Linked DNA regions of Mus musculus. The protein of the gene in region 1 interacts with the protein of each later gene in a pairwise test. Links are inferred from orthologs where the notes say so. Each region holds a gene or a part of one and is shown on either strand. Other genes may lie near its edges. The genes, in order: Pogz and Zxdc.

What was found.
Region 2: the proteins of Pogz (region 1) and Zxdc interact in binary tests that used the Homo sapiens proteins (3 or more experiments, as listed by UniProt). The link is inferred for Mus musculus from reciprocal best matches to the Homo sapiens genes POGZ and ZXDC.

The regions. Positions count from the first base shown.
Region 1 is NC_000069.6:94,869,913-94,876,437, forward strand, and holds part of Pogz (pogo transposable element with ZNF domain), read left to right. Parts: intron 1-167; coding exon 168-274; intron 275-1,075; coding exon 1,076-1,413; intron 1,414-2,360; coding exon 2,361-2,515; intron 2,516-4,681; coding exon 4,682-4,782; intron 4,783-5,187; coding exon 5,188-5,334; intron 5,335-6,525. UniProt on the Homo sapiens protein: Plays a role in mitotic cell cycle progression and is involved in kinetochore assembly and mitotic sister chromatid cohesion.
Region 2 is NC_000072.6:90,399,438-90,405,955, reverse strand, and holds the end of Zxdc (zinc finger protein ZXDC), read right to left. Parts: intron 5,175-6,518; coding exon 5,073-5,174; intron 3,937-5,072; coding exon 3,850-3,936; 3' UTR 2,470-3,849; downstream 1-2,469. Other genes in the region: Cfap100 (cilia- and flagella-associated protein 100), read left to right, coding at 513-606, 1,964-2,077. UniProt on the Homo sapiens protein: Cooperates with CIITA to promote transcription of MHC class I and MHC class II genes.

The DNA.
Region 1 (6,525 bases):
CTCTGGGCATCAGTTTGCCAGCCCTGGCCTAGAGTTAGAACAGTAAAGGGACTGTGTCTCACACACAGTGCCTCTCATGCTTGCTCTTTACTCTTGGCTCTCAGGGACTGTGCAGTCTCATCCCCGTATGCTTTACTAATCTTAACAATTCTTTTCCCTTCTTCCAGTGACCTCTTCCATCCCAGTGTTTGACCTCCAGGACGGTGGACGGAAAATATGTCCACGGTGTAATGCCCAGTTCCGTGTTACTGAAGCTCTGAGAGGTCACATGTGTGTAAGTGATACCACCCATGATAAAGATCCAGCTTAAGTGGCCTCTTCTACATCTTTTAATACTGGAATCTTGAAAAGCAGATGCTTAAACTGGCTTGGAAACTTTTGTAAAAGCTGTTCTTTCTTGTGTTTTGTTGTAGAACAGGGCTATGAAAACTGGGACTGATAAAATACATATAAAGACCGCCAATAGGTGATTGAGCTCTTACTGTCTTACGTGATCGATCTGATCTCATAGGACAGCAAGTTTGTTAGATAAGACCTCAAGGAACGTTTATATCCTCAACTCCATTTTAACTCCATCACTGGGAGTATGAAAACCTGTTACCTTGTCCCTGCTTTATTTGTCGTCATTCAGTTTTCTGGTATCAGTCCAAATGGAGCAGTTGGACCTTCTTTCTCTAGAAAGCTCAGAGTCAAGTGATGCTAGTTCAAGGCTCAAGACGGCGGGAGAGGAGCAGTGAGAGGTGCAAGGCTTGGGGCTGTGTGGACATGGAAAAGAGAAGTGTAAACTCTGGGGCTACTGAAGGAAACGAGATGAAAGCTGGACGAAGACCACCTTAAACCCAGCTCAGTGTGCCGGCAAATGCCTACAGTCCCGGCTACCCAGTAGGCTGAGGCAGAAGGATTTTGTGAACCAGTGGCCTAGCCTAGACAGCTTAAATAAGATCCCAGTGTCCAAAAACATGTCCTTTATTACCTACATTAACAAAGCATTCCAAGGGACTGTAGGTGACATGATGGATTTATTAGCTCATCCTAGTTCCTGGTAAATGGAATGATGATGTCGTTTCTTTTACAGTACTGCTGCCCTGAAATGGTTGAGTACCAAAAGAAAGGCAAGTCCCTCGATGCAGAGCCCAGTGTCCCATCGGCAGCAAAGCCCTCGTCCCCTGAGAAGACAGCCCCTGTTACTTCCACACCCTCCTCTACACCAATTCCTGCTCTCTCACCACCTACCAAAGTACCAGAGCCAAATGAGAATGCTGGAGATGCTGTCCAGACCAAGCTTATTATGCTGGTTGATGATTTCTACTATGGACGGGATGGGGGCAAAGCAGCCCAGCTCACGAGCTTCCCTAAGGTTGCCACGTCTTTCCGATGCCCTCATTGTACTAAGAGGCTAAAGAACAACATTCGGTAAGCTTGAAACAACAGCCTGCACAGAAGTACACAGGTGTTCTTATTACATAGTTAAGGTTTTCTTTTGGGAAATATTAACTATGATGCAGTCTTTCTTCTTTTATGGTTTTTTTGAAATGGGTTTTCTGTGTATAACACTGGCTCTCCTGAAACTCACTCTGTAGACCAGGCTGGCCTCGAACTCAAGAGATCTGTCTTCTCCTGAATGCTAGAACTAAAGGCATTTACCACTACCACCTGACTTAGACAGTCTTGTTAGACTTTTTAGTGGGCAATACTGTTGAATTATTTCATTATGGTAATAAAAGATACCTTTAACTTTGAGTAAGGAACACAGTCTCCTTGAACAGAATATTCTTTTAGTTTTAAGAACTTGTTATCTGGGGGCTGGACAGATGGCTCAACAGTTAAGAGCACTGACTATTCTTCCAGAGCACCTAGGTTCAGTTCCCAGCACCCACATGGCAGCTCAGAACTGTCTGTAACTCCCAGACCTGACACCTCACATATATAGATATGGATGGATGGAGATGTAAGTATAGATGTATACGTAACCAAAACTTCAATGCATGTAAAGTAAAAGTAAATTATTTTAAGAAGAAGTATCTATTAATATGGAGCTGGAGAAAGGGCACAGAAATTAAAAGTGCATTCTGTTCTTATAGAGAACCTGAGTTCAAGTCCCAGCATCCACATAAGGTGGCTCACAATTGTCTGTATCTTCAGCTCCGACCTCCTTCAGCACTTGTATGAATGACCCTATACGCAGACACACAGAAATACACAGAATTTGTAAAGGACCATCTTTCTGGGCTCAGAAAAAGACTCTCCCAAATGGAGGAAGTTGTAGTTGGGGAGCAAATCGTATTTGTTCATAACTGTATCATATCTTTCATCGACTGCTGACTTAGTTTTCTGTACTTTCTCTTTGTGCTGTGCTACAGATTCATGAACCACATGAAGCACCACGTAGAACTTGATCAACAGAATGGTGAGGTGGATGGTCACACCATCTGCCAGCACTGTTACCGCCAGTTCTCCACCCCTTTCCAGCTCCAGTGCCACTTGGAAAATGTTCATAGTCCCTATGAATCTACTAGTAAGTTTGAAAACCCAAACTCCAGCAGAGGGATGGGATCTATGTTTTCTTTGCTTACTAAATGGCACTAGCAGAGAGCTCATTATACCCAGATAATAGTGATAGAGGAGTACTTTTCTCTATTTTTTAACAAGCATAATTTTAAAGTACTTTGCTATTAAATTGGTGTTGTCCGTGAAATAGTAGGTGGTGAGCTAGAATGTTAGTTACAGATTTTACAAAGTAGGAACAACAGCAAACACTTAGAATAACAGAAGTCATCTGCTTAAAACATACATTTGTTGTTTGTTTTAGACACAGGGTTTCTCTGTGTATGTAGCCCTAGCTATTCTGGACTCACTTTGTAGACCAGGCTGGCCTCAAACTCACAGAGATCTGCTTGCCTCTTGTCTCCTGAGTGCTGAGTGAAACATAAGCTTCTATTGAGTTGACGTTTTGAGATGTGAGCCCAGTGTTCAGAGTTCTTTCTTGGTTGGTTGGTTGGTTGGTTGGTTGGTTGGTTGGTTGGTTGGTTTGGTTTGGTTTGGTTTGGTTTTTGAGACAGAGCTTTTCTGTGTAGCTCTGGCTGTTCAGGAACTCACTCTGTAGATCAGGCTGGGCTAGAACTCAAAAGATCTGCCTGCCTCTGCCTCCCAGTCTATTCACCACTCCCACCCCCCATGCTGCCATTAAAGGCATGCACCACCTCTGCCCTGCTTCCAGGTTCTGGAGCTGGAGTTAAAGATGCTTGTGAGCTGCCCAGTGTGGGTGCTGGGAACTGAGCTCCAGTTCTTTGCAAAAGCAGTAAATACTTTAACCACTGATCCGTCTCTCCCTATTCAGAATATTTCTCAAAGGATTGTCAATTTTGTTAAAAATGCAAATTATCTTAAGTATAGGAGCTTATATAATTATAGTATGTAGAGTAAGACAATATTATATGTTAGATTTACAGGCTCATTGAAGGCAGAAGTAGGAAGGCCACTTAGTTCAAGGCAAGCCTGGCCTACATAGTAAGATCCTATCTCAAAATAAGATAATATTACAAACATGCCTTATATGATAGTTATTATGGGTAAGATCATTACAATAGGGGAAAAGATTTTGTGGCCAAGTTTCACAAAACATGGTGATAAACTTTTAGTTTTAAATATAGGAAGGAGTTAGAAAGATTCAGAGGGTGGGCCATTGACTAATAAATACTTAAAACTTTAAGTCTATGTTTATATTTGCAGAAACTTGAAAGACCAGTGGACAAAGGAAAACACAGACAAATATAGCTCTTTTGCTAGCCACACTTTATAATTCAAAATATGAAGCAATTAAAAATTTTACCAAAAATTTAGAATTGTATCCTTTTAAATAAGCTTGACAAATTTCTGAGCATAATTATGTTGAATCTGTTCATACTGAAAGAGAAGTGACATTATATACACCATTAACACCAGCACTTGGGAGGCAGGGGCAGAATGATAGAAATCTGAGTTGCAAGTTTATCTATTATACATAAGCGTTCCAGGCCATACAGGGTTGGGAGGTAAGACCCTGTCACAAAAACAAAAAAGCAAACATCTCTTAGTGTTTGTCAGCCATTTCAGAACAAATTCTTCCTTGTACTTCATGGACAGTCAGTAGATATTTATGAATTATTTATAAATGAAAATCTTTGTTCCTGGGTATAGGCTTAAACTCATGTTGTATTTTGTAGTCAGTTGTAAGGGTTTCTACCATGTTCTTGTCTATCATAACAGAGGTGACAGTGTGACAGTTCTAGGTCACAGTGGGTATGTCTTAAAGAAATAAGAGATAGGAAATGGACAGAAGGCAAATGTGATTTCAAGTTAGGAGCAAAGAGGGAATGTCTGGTTTAAAATGCGAATAGTTCACAGTCTCCTAGACTAGAGCTTTGTTAAAAGGCTGAGTTAGAGAGAGGGATATTAGTTGTCATCAGCAACACAAATGTTAGAGCAGAACCAGTGTACAGATGTGATCTTAAGAGATATGATCTTGCACTTGGGTAACAGAGGCAGGTGGATTTCTGAGTTCAAGGCCAGCCTGGTCTACAGAGTGAGTTCCAGGACAACCAGGGCTACACAGAGAAACCCTGTCTCAAAAAACCTGAGAGAGATGGGGGGGGGGGGGGATCTTACATCCAAGTCTATGTCTCTATGATTTTTCTTCTTCCAGCCAAGTGCAAGATCTGTGAGTGGGCCTTTGAAAGCGAGCCCTTGTTCCTCCAGCATATGAAGGACACCCACAAGCCTGGAGAGATGCCTTATGTTTGTCAGGTAATGAATGCCTTTTTCAAACTGTAAAGAATCCACTAGTGGATATTTCTAAATACCCACTGTACAGCTTCCATTTATGTGCTCTGAAGAGATATGGGAAGAGTAATAGTGCAGCTCCTATAGGTAGGACTTTGTAGAAGATAACACCCAGACAGGGGACTCCTGGCATACCAAGAGCTGTCTCCCGAGCTCCCTCTCAGGATAGAGGATGCTTTTCTGCCTTAGAGAGTATGGGTTGTTCCCAGACATCACAGCTAAGCTTACCATCCACATAGATCTCCAGTGCGAATCCAAGACAGTAACACCTGTGCATTGAAGAATATTCCTGCATCAATCTTTGTTGTTATCTCTCTTTATGGCTCCAGTTGTTCACCTTGCCCTTATTTTCTTTCTTGCATAACTCAGGTGTGTCAGTATCGCTCCTCCCTCTACTCTGAAGTAGATGTCCATTTTCGGATGATCCATGAAGATACTCGGCATTTGCTTTGCCCGTATTGCCTAAAAGTCTTCAAAAATGGCAATGCCTTCCAGCAACACTACATGAGGCACCAGGTATCAGGCACAAGCAGTCCTGTATTCTTATTTGAGGTTTGGATCCTAGGGACAGGGTTGAGATAGATAAATAATGTTGGTAGAGAAGATAATATTGTGTTAGCAAACATCATTCAGTTCTTGTTTCTTCCTACACACTAGGTTAGATGTTAGAGGTTTAGTGTTAAAGGAAAATACACGCACGCACACACACAAAAATGAGGGCTTTGTTAATAGGGGACGATACAGAGAAGCATCTATCTATTCTGGGAACTGAAGGGACATCCAGAAAGAAGTGCTGTTTCAGGTCTGAAGGATGAATAATGGTGGGGAATAAAATAGGACAGAGCCGGTGTGTAGGGAGGTAAGGGGTGTTCAGAGCAAACGGTAGAGTACAAGGTACATGTTGGAAGCTATGTGCAGATAGATTATGGGTGTTCTCCTAGGCTAGGAAAAGGACTCAAGTTCTGCAGTGATAGGTTTAAGATTTTACACTGCCAGCACTAAGTAAACTAAGTCAAAGCTAGAGCAGAGGGGAAAGATTACCCAAAGGCTTTAATCAGGTAGGCGATATTAGTGGTTGTTGGCTTTTGAAGTAAAGAAAAGAGATGGAGTCAAGACGCATTGCTAAAATTATATATATTTACAATGCAGAGATGGGTTAGGTGAGATAACAAGGGAGTAAGAGTGGCTCCTGAAACAAGCACTGCCTTTGTCAGGCTGCAGACTCAAAAACAGCTGTATATAAAGATGTATTAAGCCCCCTACCCCACATTCCACCTCCTGGAAAAGGGGGGGAAAGCAAGAATACAAAGGGGAGTGCTATGTTTTGTATGTAGTCTTTAAAGGGGTATGGCTGGAAAGTCTTGGTGATCGGGTGCTTGCCTAACATAAGGAAGGCCTCAGCTTTTTGCTTGTATCCCTAACACCACTAGAAAGAAACCAAAGAAAGCTTTGCTCTGTGGTTGTTCATATACATAGCCAGTGAAAAGATGTCTGTGGAAATGAACCAACAACCAGGAATTAAAGGCAGACCTAGCAGGTGGAGGGGACAGAATGAGAGTCCAAGTTGTTCTGTTGTTTACTTGACACCATGTATGTTTCTGTGTGCTTTAAAAATCAAGAAGACTGTCCAGGAATAGATAGCAGTCTGCGGTGCTAAGGTGATCTAGGTGAGCAGGCGTGTGCCACTGACCATGCACTCCAAGGACT
Region 2 (6,518 bases), on another chromosome or scaffold:
AGTGTCCACCATTATGACTCTCCTGCCCAGACACAGGGTCAGGACTCTGTATCATGAGGTTGAGGCCACTACCTGTTGGTGCCACAGGGTAGAAGCTCTCTACCTGGACATCCATTTATATGTGCGGCCTTGGGACACAACCATCTGCCAAATCTGTTTGTCTCTCCTAAGGTTGGGGCGACCTCTTCTGGGGTCCTGGCACATGCTCTAAGGCTAATGTCCTAGTTGGATGCTAGGGTGTAGGTCTGTGGGCATAAGAGTTAAAGGCATAGATGTGGATCCAGGAACACATGCTTTCTTGGGCCTGTGGTCTGAACCTTAGGTCACCCTCATGGCCAGCATAGCATTTACATAGTCCTGCCTGCCTTATTCCCAAGCCACTTGCTCAGGACAGGCATGGCAGAGGGGACATTTTCACATGTGAGAGGGCATGGGCTAATTTGGAGCCCAAGTGGGAAAAGCAGAGATCCCTGCCAGGCTCTGGTTTTCCTAAGCTCACCTCTTGTCCCCAGGCTTCGTGAAGAGAAGGCCATGATGCAGAAGCAGCTGCAGGAGGAACGTCTGCAACGGGCTCGAGCCAGGGCCCAGGCTAAAATAAAGAAGAAGGTAAGGGGTGGTGCCAGGGCCACTCTAGGGTGTACCTTTCAGGCTCTCCAGCCCGAGCTCCAAGGCCTCTCTGCAGGCAAATCACTCTGCTGAAGAAACAGACAGTTGCATGCAGTGCCAAACTGGAGTGGAGAAGTCTCTCCAAAGCCAGGCACTTCTAGTGTTCCTGTCATAGGGGCTGTCCTCCTCACCAGGATCAACCTCCTAGATGTACTGCACCCTTGCCACAGAACTCAAACCAACATCCAGTCTCTCTCAAGGTCCTGTTGCTCTCTCTGTCCAACCCTCAGACAGACCTGGGGCCAAGCAAACTGCCTGTTGCTAGGCATGTGCCTTCTGGACCTCAAGCCCTTACCCCACAGAAAAATGGACTGTGGCAGCCTTATGCCTTCTAGATGTGTCCTGGAAGCATATCTGGAGCCAAGCATAGCCTCTTGAGAAGCAGGAGCTGGCTGGCATCTATGAAACATGGTTGCCCATGCCATTATTTGGGAAAGATGAACACTATTAATAATAAGATACTACTAAACATCCTAGTGCTTAGTTCAGAAAGAAAGCTGCCACACAGTTCCCTTCAGAAGATGTAGCTCATTAGGAGAGAGACTTCCAGGCAATTATCAAGACTCAGATGACAGGGAGAACATTACACAGAAATAGTTCAATATATGGAGGTCTAAATGTAACAGGGCCTTCTTAGTAGAAGGGCTTTTCTTTCCTGGAGAGGAACTTCATTAAGGGAAGGGGTTGAGGGGTAGAGGGGGCGAGGGAGAACACACACTGCCATGAGAAGGATGGCAGGGCAGAGGAGCCTCTTCAGAGAGCAACTTTCAGAGGACCTTCCCAAGCAAATCCAAGAACAAAAGTAAGAGCCAACTAAGTTCTGTGGGGGATGAGGGGAGTTGGCAGCAAGTCTCACATTCATAATTTAGTCCAACACAGTGTATATGACAAAGGCATGGAAGAACTTGGACTAATTAGGACCATCAGTCCAGGTCTATTGGATACAGCACAGACAGCTTAACTCTGTTCAAGAGAGAGTTGAAAAGTATGGGATTGGGCTTTTATAGAGTGATCACTGACTTTTAGAGGCCAACCTGTCACACTGCAGGGTCTCCCATGGAAGCCTTGAGCTCAGAAATGCTTTAGCTCTTGTCCCTCAAAAGGTATGCTCCATGGAGCCTGCACGGTACCTGCTGGGCTGGTCTACATTCTAGGTCCCTTTAGTCAGTATGGCCCTTGAGTGGCTGGTTTGCATGGTTAGATTTGCTGGCCTCTTCAAGCACCTTATGGCAGGGGACATGGGGAGCACGGCACGTACGTGGCTAGTACAGGCTCACCATGTTTATTTCTCCTGCAGAGAGGCCGGAAATTGATAAGCCGTTCCCATCCACCAGTCATCAAAGTGAAGGAGGTGCGTGAACAGACGCTGATCAACAAGGACAAGGAGGAGATGCTCTTCTTCTTCACTTAGCAGCAGAGCTGGCTGTGGGCTCGGGAAGAAGTCAGCAGGAAGTGCAGACAGGGACTGTGAGCCTGAGGGGTTCCTAACTCCATCTCATACTTTCCTGTCAGCCTCCTTACAGGAAATAAAACCATGTCTCTTGGGAGTCTGAACGGCCTGCTGAAGGGAGTCTCTTGGAGCCCCTTTTGTCATTTCATCCAAAGCATGTGCTTGAGGGATAGAGCACTGTGCCGGTTGTCATCACAAACAGCTGCTCGTGGAGAAGTCTCAAACCTGTCCCTGAGGACGGCAGGATGGTGCTGGCTCTTGGAGACAAACGAGCAAGTAGCCAGCTGGGAAGCAGTGGGAAGAGTCTCAATACCACGCATAGTACCTTGAATGAAAGCAGCGCAAAAGCTTTTGCACATAACATTCGAACACTTTTATTCATTTGCACTAAGGACTGGGCCTATGGCAGCAGGAAGCTCCAGAGCTCAGAGCACAACAGCCCATCCTGTCACTTGCAGACACACGCTGGAGGCTGTGGGAGCTGCTGGAGCAACTTCTCTGTGGGGTGGGCTCTGGAGGCAGGCGACAGTGGTACCAGGCTGCCTACTGAGTGTCTATGGGGGCGCTGATTACAGCTAGGCAAGTTCAACCCCTAAACTTTGGCCTGTGATGCAGGAGAGACATGTGGAAAGGAGTCTTCTCAAGTAGGATTTATAATCCTTTTGTAGGGAGCAGCACCCAGGTAGCATCCAGAGAAAACTCATGCCCAGTTTCAGAGCTCTCCCCAAATCCAAGAAACAAAGCAACTCAGATGGGACAGAATCAAAACAGTATCTGAATAAGCACACACATCAAAAGCCCAAAGCATTGCTGAGTGACCCTGTATCCAGTCTTGACTAACAAATATGTGCAAGGCAACCAACCGTCTCCACGGGGAAGACCAAATCATTCTGTGAAAACACACAAGGCCACATAATATGCTTATCTCCAACCTCAATCATAAAACAAGCCTATTGTTCCAGCCCTACACATAACATAAAGCATTCAGAACTCCACTGTAGAGACTGCTGACAAGTTACTACTTACCATGAATTCCAGAAACAGAATTTAGAAAGATGACTTTAAAAGCCCGAACTCTTCATTCACAAACTATGAGCACACTGTCAATTTAGGAAGAGGTTCTATTAGCAGGCTACTGGCAGGCGGCAGGCCAGCCAATCACCTTTCAGACTAGATGTTTTGCCAGAGCTCAACCTGACTTTGGCTTCACTACAGCATACAGTGTAGAGAAAGCAATACACCCACCAAAACCATTCCCACAGGTGAGAAGCTGTTATATAAGCTCTCAGAATGTGTCAGACAAATCCTAATACACTACAACTCAGTATAGAGAAGTACCTGAGGAGGGAGCCATGCTCTACCCACTTCCTGCAAGGATCTTTTAATGTAAAAGGTGCTACCCACGTCAGACCCAAGGGGACCTGGGAAGGGCTGGAATGCATGTGCGTGCGTGCACGCACGTGTACACACACACACACACACACACACACACACACACACGGCATGGGCAGGGTGCCTATCACAGAGGGCAACCTGTGGAGGCAGTTTCAAAGAGTATAGCCCAAACTGGCTCTTGCTGGAACAGAATCAAAGTACTTTCAATATGTGTACCCCAAAGTCTCAAAGAATCAGGCTGGAGTGCTGAGGAAGTGAAATGAGTCTCTGCCCACCCACAGCAGCTGAGGTCTTGAAGCACAGCCTGGAATTCAGTCTTCATTGGCTCAAGACTGCTGTCACTCAAGGTCCCGCAGGTTGATAGTACTTCCTGGTACCTGTGCAGTCTCCAGTCCAGCAAAACCTCCAGGTGCTGGAAGCACCTCCTGTAAAACCAAGCAGAGAAGTAGAGGGTAGGGCAAGAAGAGAAGAGGAAGGCTCAGCAGAGATGTGGCCCACACCTTATGTTCTTCAAAGAACAATGTGACAGATAATGGTGGCATAAGCTTTTGATCCCAGTACAAGGAAGGCAGAGTCAGGCAGATCTCTGTGAGTTCCAGGCCAGCCAGTGTAGGCTACAAAGGGGGACTCCATCTTAAAAAAAGGAAGAAAGGAAGGAAGGAAGAAAGAAAGGAAGGAAGAAAAAGAAGTAAAGAAATAAAAAGAACTAAAACAGTGATATTTTTCCCAGATACTTTTCTAAAGGCCTACTGATGGCTCCATATATATTCAAACACCCATGTACTCTTCTGTTAAAAAAATGGCTCATTCTTTCTTGTACCCAGCATGCAGTGGGCAGGCTGCCCAGGGAGATGGCCACGGCTGCATAGCCATCACTCTCCTGCTGGAATCCAGTCCGCAGTGCGCAGGTTGCAGGTCACTGGTAGTCTGTATCTTCCCTGCCTCCCTCACAGCCTCTTGCTCTCTTCCCGCCACCCTATATTTTTTTCTCCCTTTTCCTTTCAGTTTTTAGAGACAGGTCCTTGCTATGTGGCCAAAGTGGCCTCAAATTCACAGTTCTCCAGCCTTGATCTGGGTTAATGGGTGCAACTATGTCTATGACATCTGGTTCAGATTTCCTTTCTTTAGGAAGTCCTCTGAGGGCTTAAAACAGTGGTACAGACATCCCTGAGGTAGGCTGCAGTCTGAAAAATGACTTTCATTCCCACCTAGATCTGCATTGGTGACTACCTACTCTCTGTTTACCTACTCCCTCACTTAGCTACTGAACTTATGTAGGTGTAGCTCATTCGTGGAGAATTTAGAACCAGAGAGTGCAGTAGTCCCAGGCATACTATGTTTTATCTGGTCCACAAGAAGACACTGTAGTGTCAAGCAAGCCTTATTTGAAGCTGTGACCCTGACTACCTTTTAAAAAAATTACAAAGTGGCTAGAGTGACCATCAACCCAATGGGCCTCCAGGGCAGGTCTGTGGCAGCTTCTAAACCATGCTACAACCTCCTGACATGGGAAACCTGGGATGAGTTCTACGAGAAGAGCAAGAACTGTAGACATCCAGACCTGGAGGACGTAGACAGGCAGATCCACGGTGAAGTAGGGGTGGAAGGCAGAGCGCTGTGGGCTGAGGCCCAGTGGTAAGCCTCCTTCACCTGAGGGGTCATCCTGGGGAGACAACATCAAGAATTATTACACACTGGTAAGCAGGAAGCAGGAGCAATGGCCCCTCCATCTCACTCACTTTGAGCCTAGTCCAAGGTTCAGTTGAGTCTGGAATCTTCTGTTGTCTGCCTCCCCTATGTTTATTATTTCAATACTCAAAAAACGTGCCTGGTCCCAACAGCTCCTTTCCTTCTACAATGTCCTAAATTCCACACAGATGCCTGAGTGCTTCAAGCTCATGGGGGTGGGGGCTTACCCTTATCTCTGTTCCCGGCTTACCCTCGGGCCAAACAGAGATCTCAAAGCAGACAGCATCTGGAGATGAGGAGACTAGCAGGCCCCCATTAGCCAATCAGGAAAGACTGGTTTTGCTTTCTCAAGTGTGTACTCAGTTACAGCTCGTATTACCCCCAAACTGAGCACCCTTTGCTCTGGCACCCCATCCTTCCACTGCCTTAAGGGCCTTCTGAGTACTACTGTTCCACCTCATGACAACAGAAGTGAAGCTGGGGATAAGGCCACTTGCCCAAGACAACACTAGTCGTCAAGGGACAGGTGAAATAGTCATACCCAGGTGCATGCTCTTTCTGCCTGTGGTGGCATCTTTCCTATGGTCTCTTCACACTATAGTCCCTTAGTCTTGGGGTGATCTCTGTATGCTGACTTGCACACTGTGTTGTGCTCCTTCAGGACAGGCCTCCCACTCCTTTTACTGTGCCAATCTCTACAGAATCCTTTCTCTCTTCCACAGTAACATGTTGTTCCCCCACTGGGTCAAACTAGGAGGGAGGAACATGATTTTCAGCTCCTTTCCATACACAAGCCCGAGTTTCTACCCTCAAAACTCTCATCTGCATCTTTTTTTTCTCTAGAACCCTTTTACACCCTGCTCCACAGGTTACCCTTTGCCATCTGTCCCCCATTATTTGAACCCTGCAAGCCCTTCACAGCCTTCTACTCCCAGTCCCACCTCTTTCCTTCATGGTTCTCTCCCAGATGGATCTTGCCTGTCTCTAAGCTCTCTGAAGAAACTGGAAAAGCTCTACCCTTAAGTCTCCGACATCTAGGTTTGCATTGGCCTTCTGAAGTTTCATCTATACCTCCAAGTGGTGTACAATATGTAGGTGTGACCAGGCCAGAATTATCCAGATTTCTCAGCATCCAAACTTCTTCCTTCTCCTACTCTATCTACCTCCTCAGAGGGAAGCCTGGGAGTACAGGTATGTATGGGGCTGCTAAGTGACCTGGCAGTGAGTTCCCACAGATGGGCTGTCAGATGCAGGTCTGCAGAGCCTCCAAAGAGGTGGCTAAGCCTTCTTTAGTGATCAGTGAGAAAGGAAGCAGAAA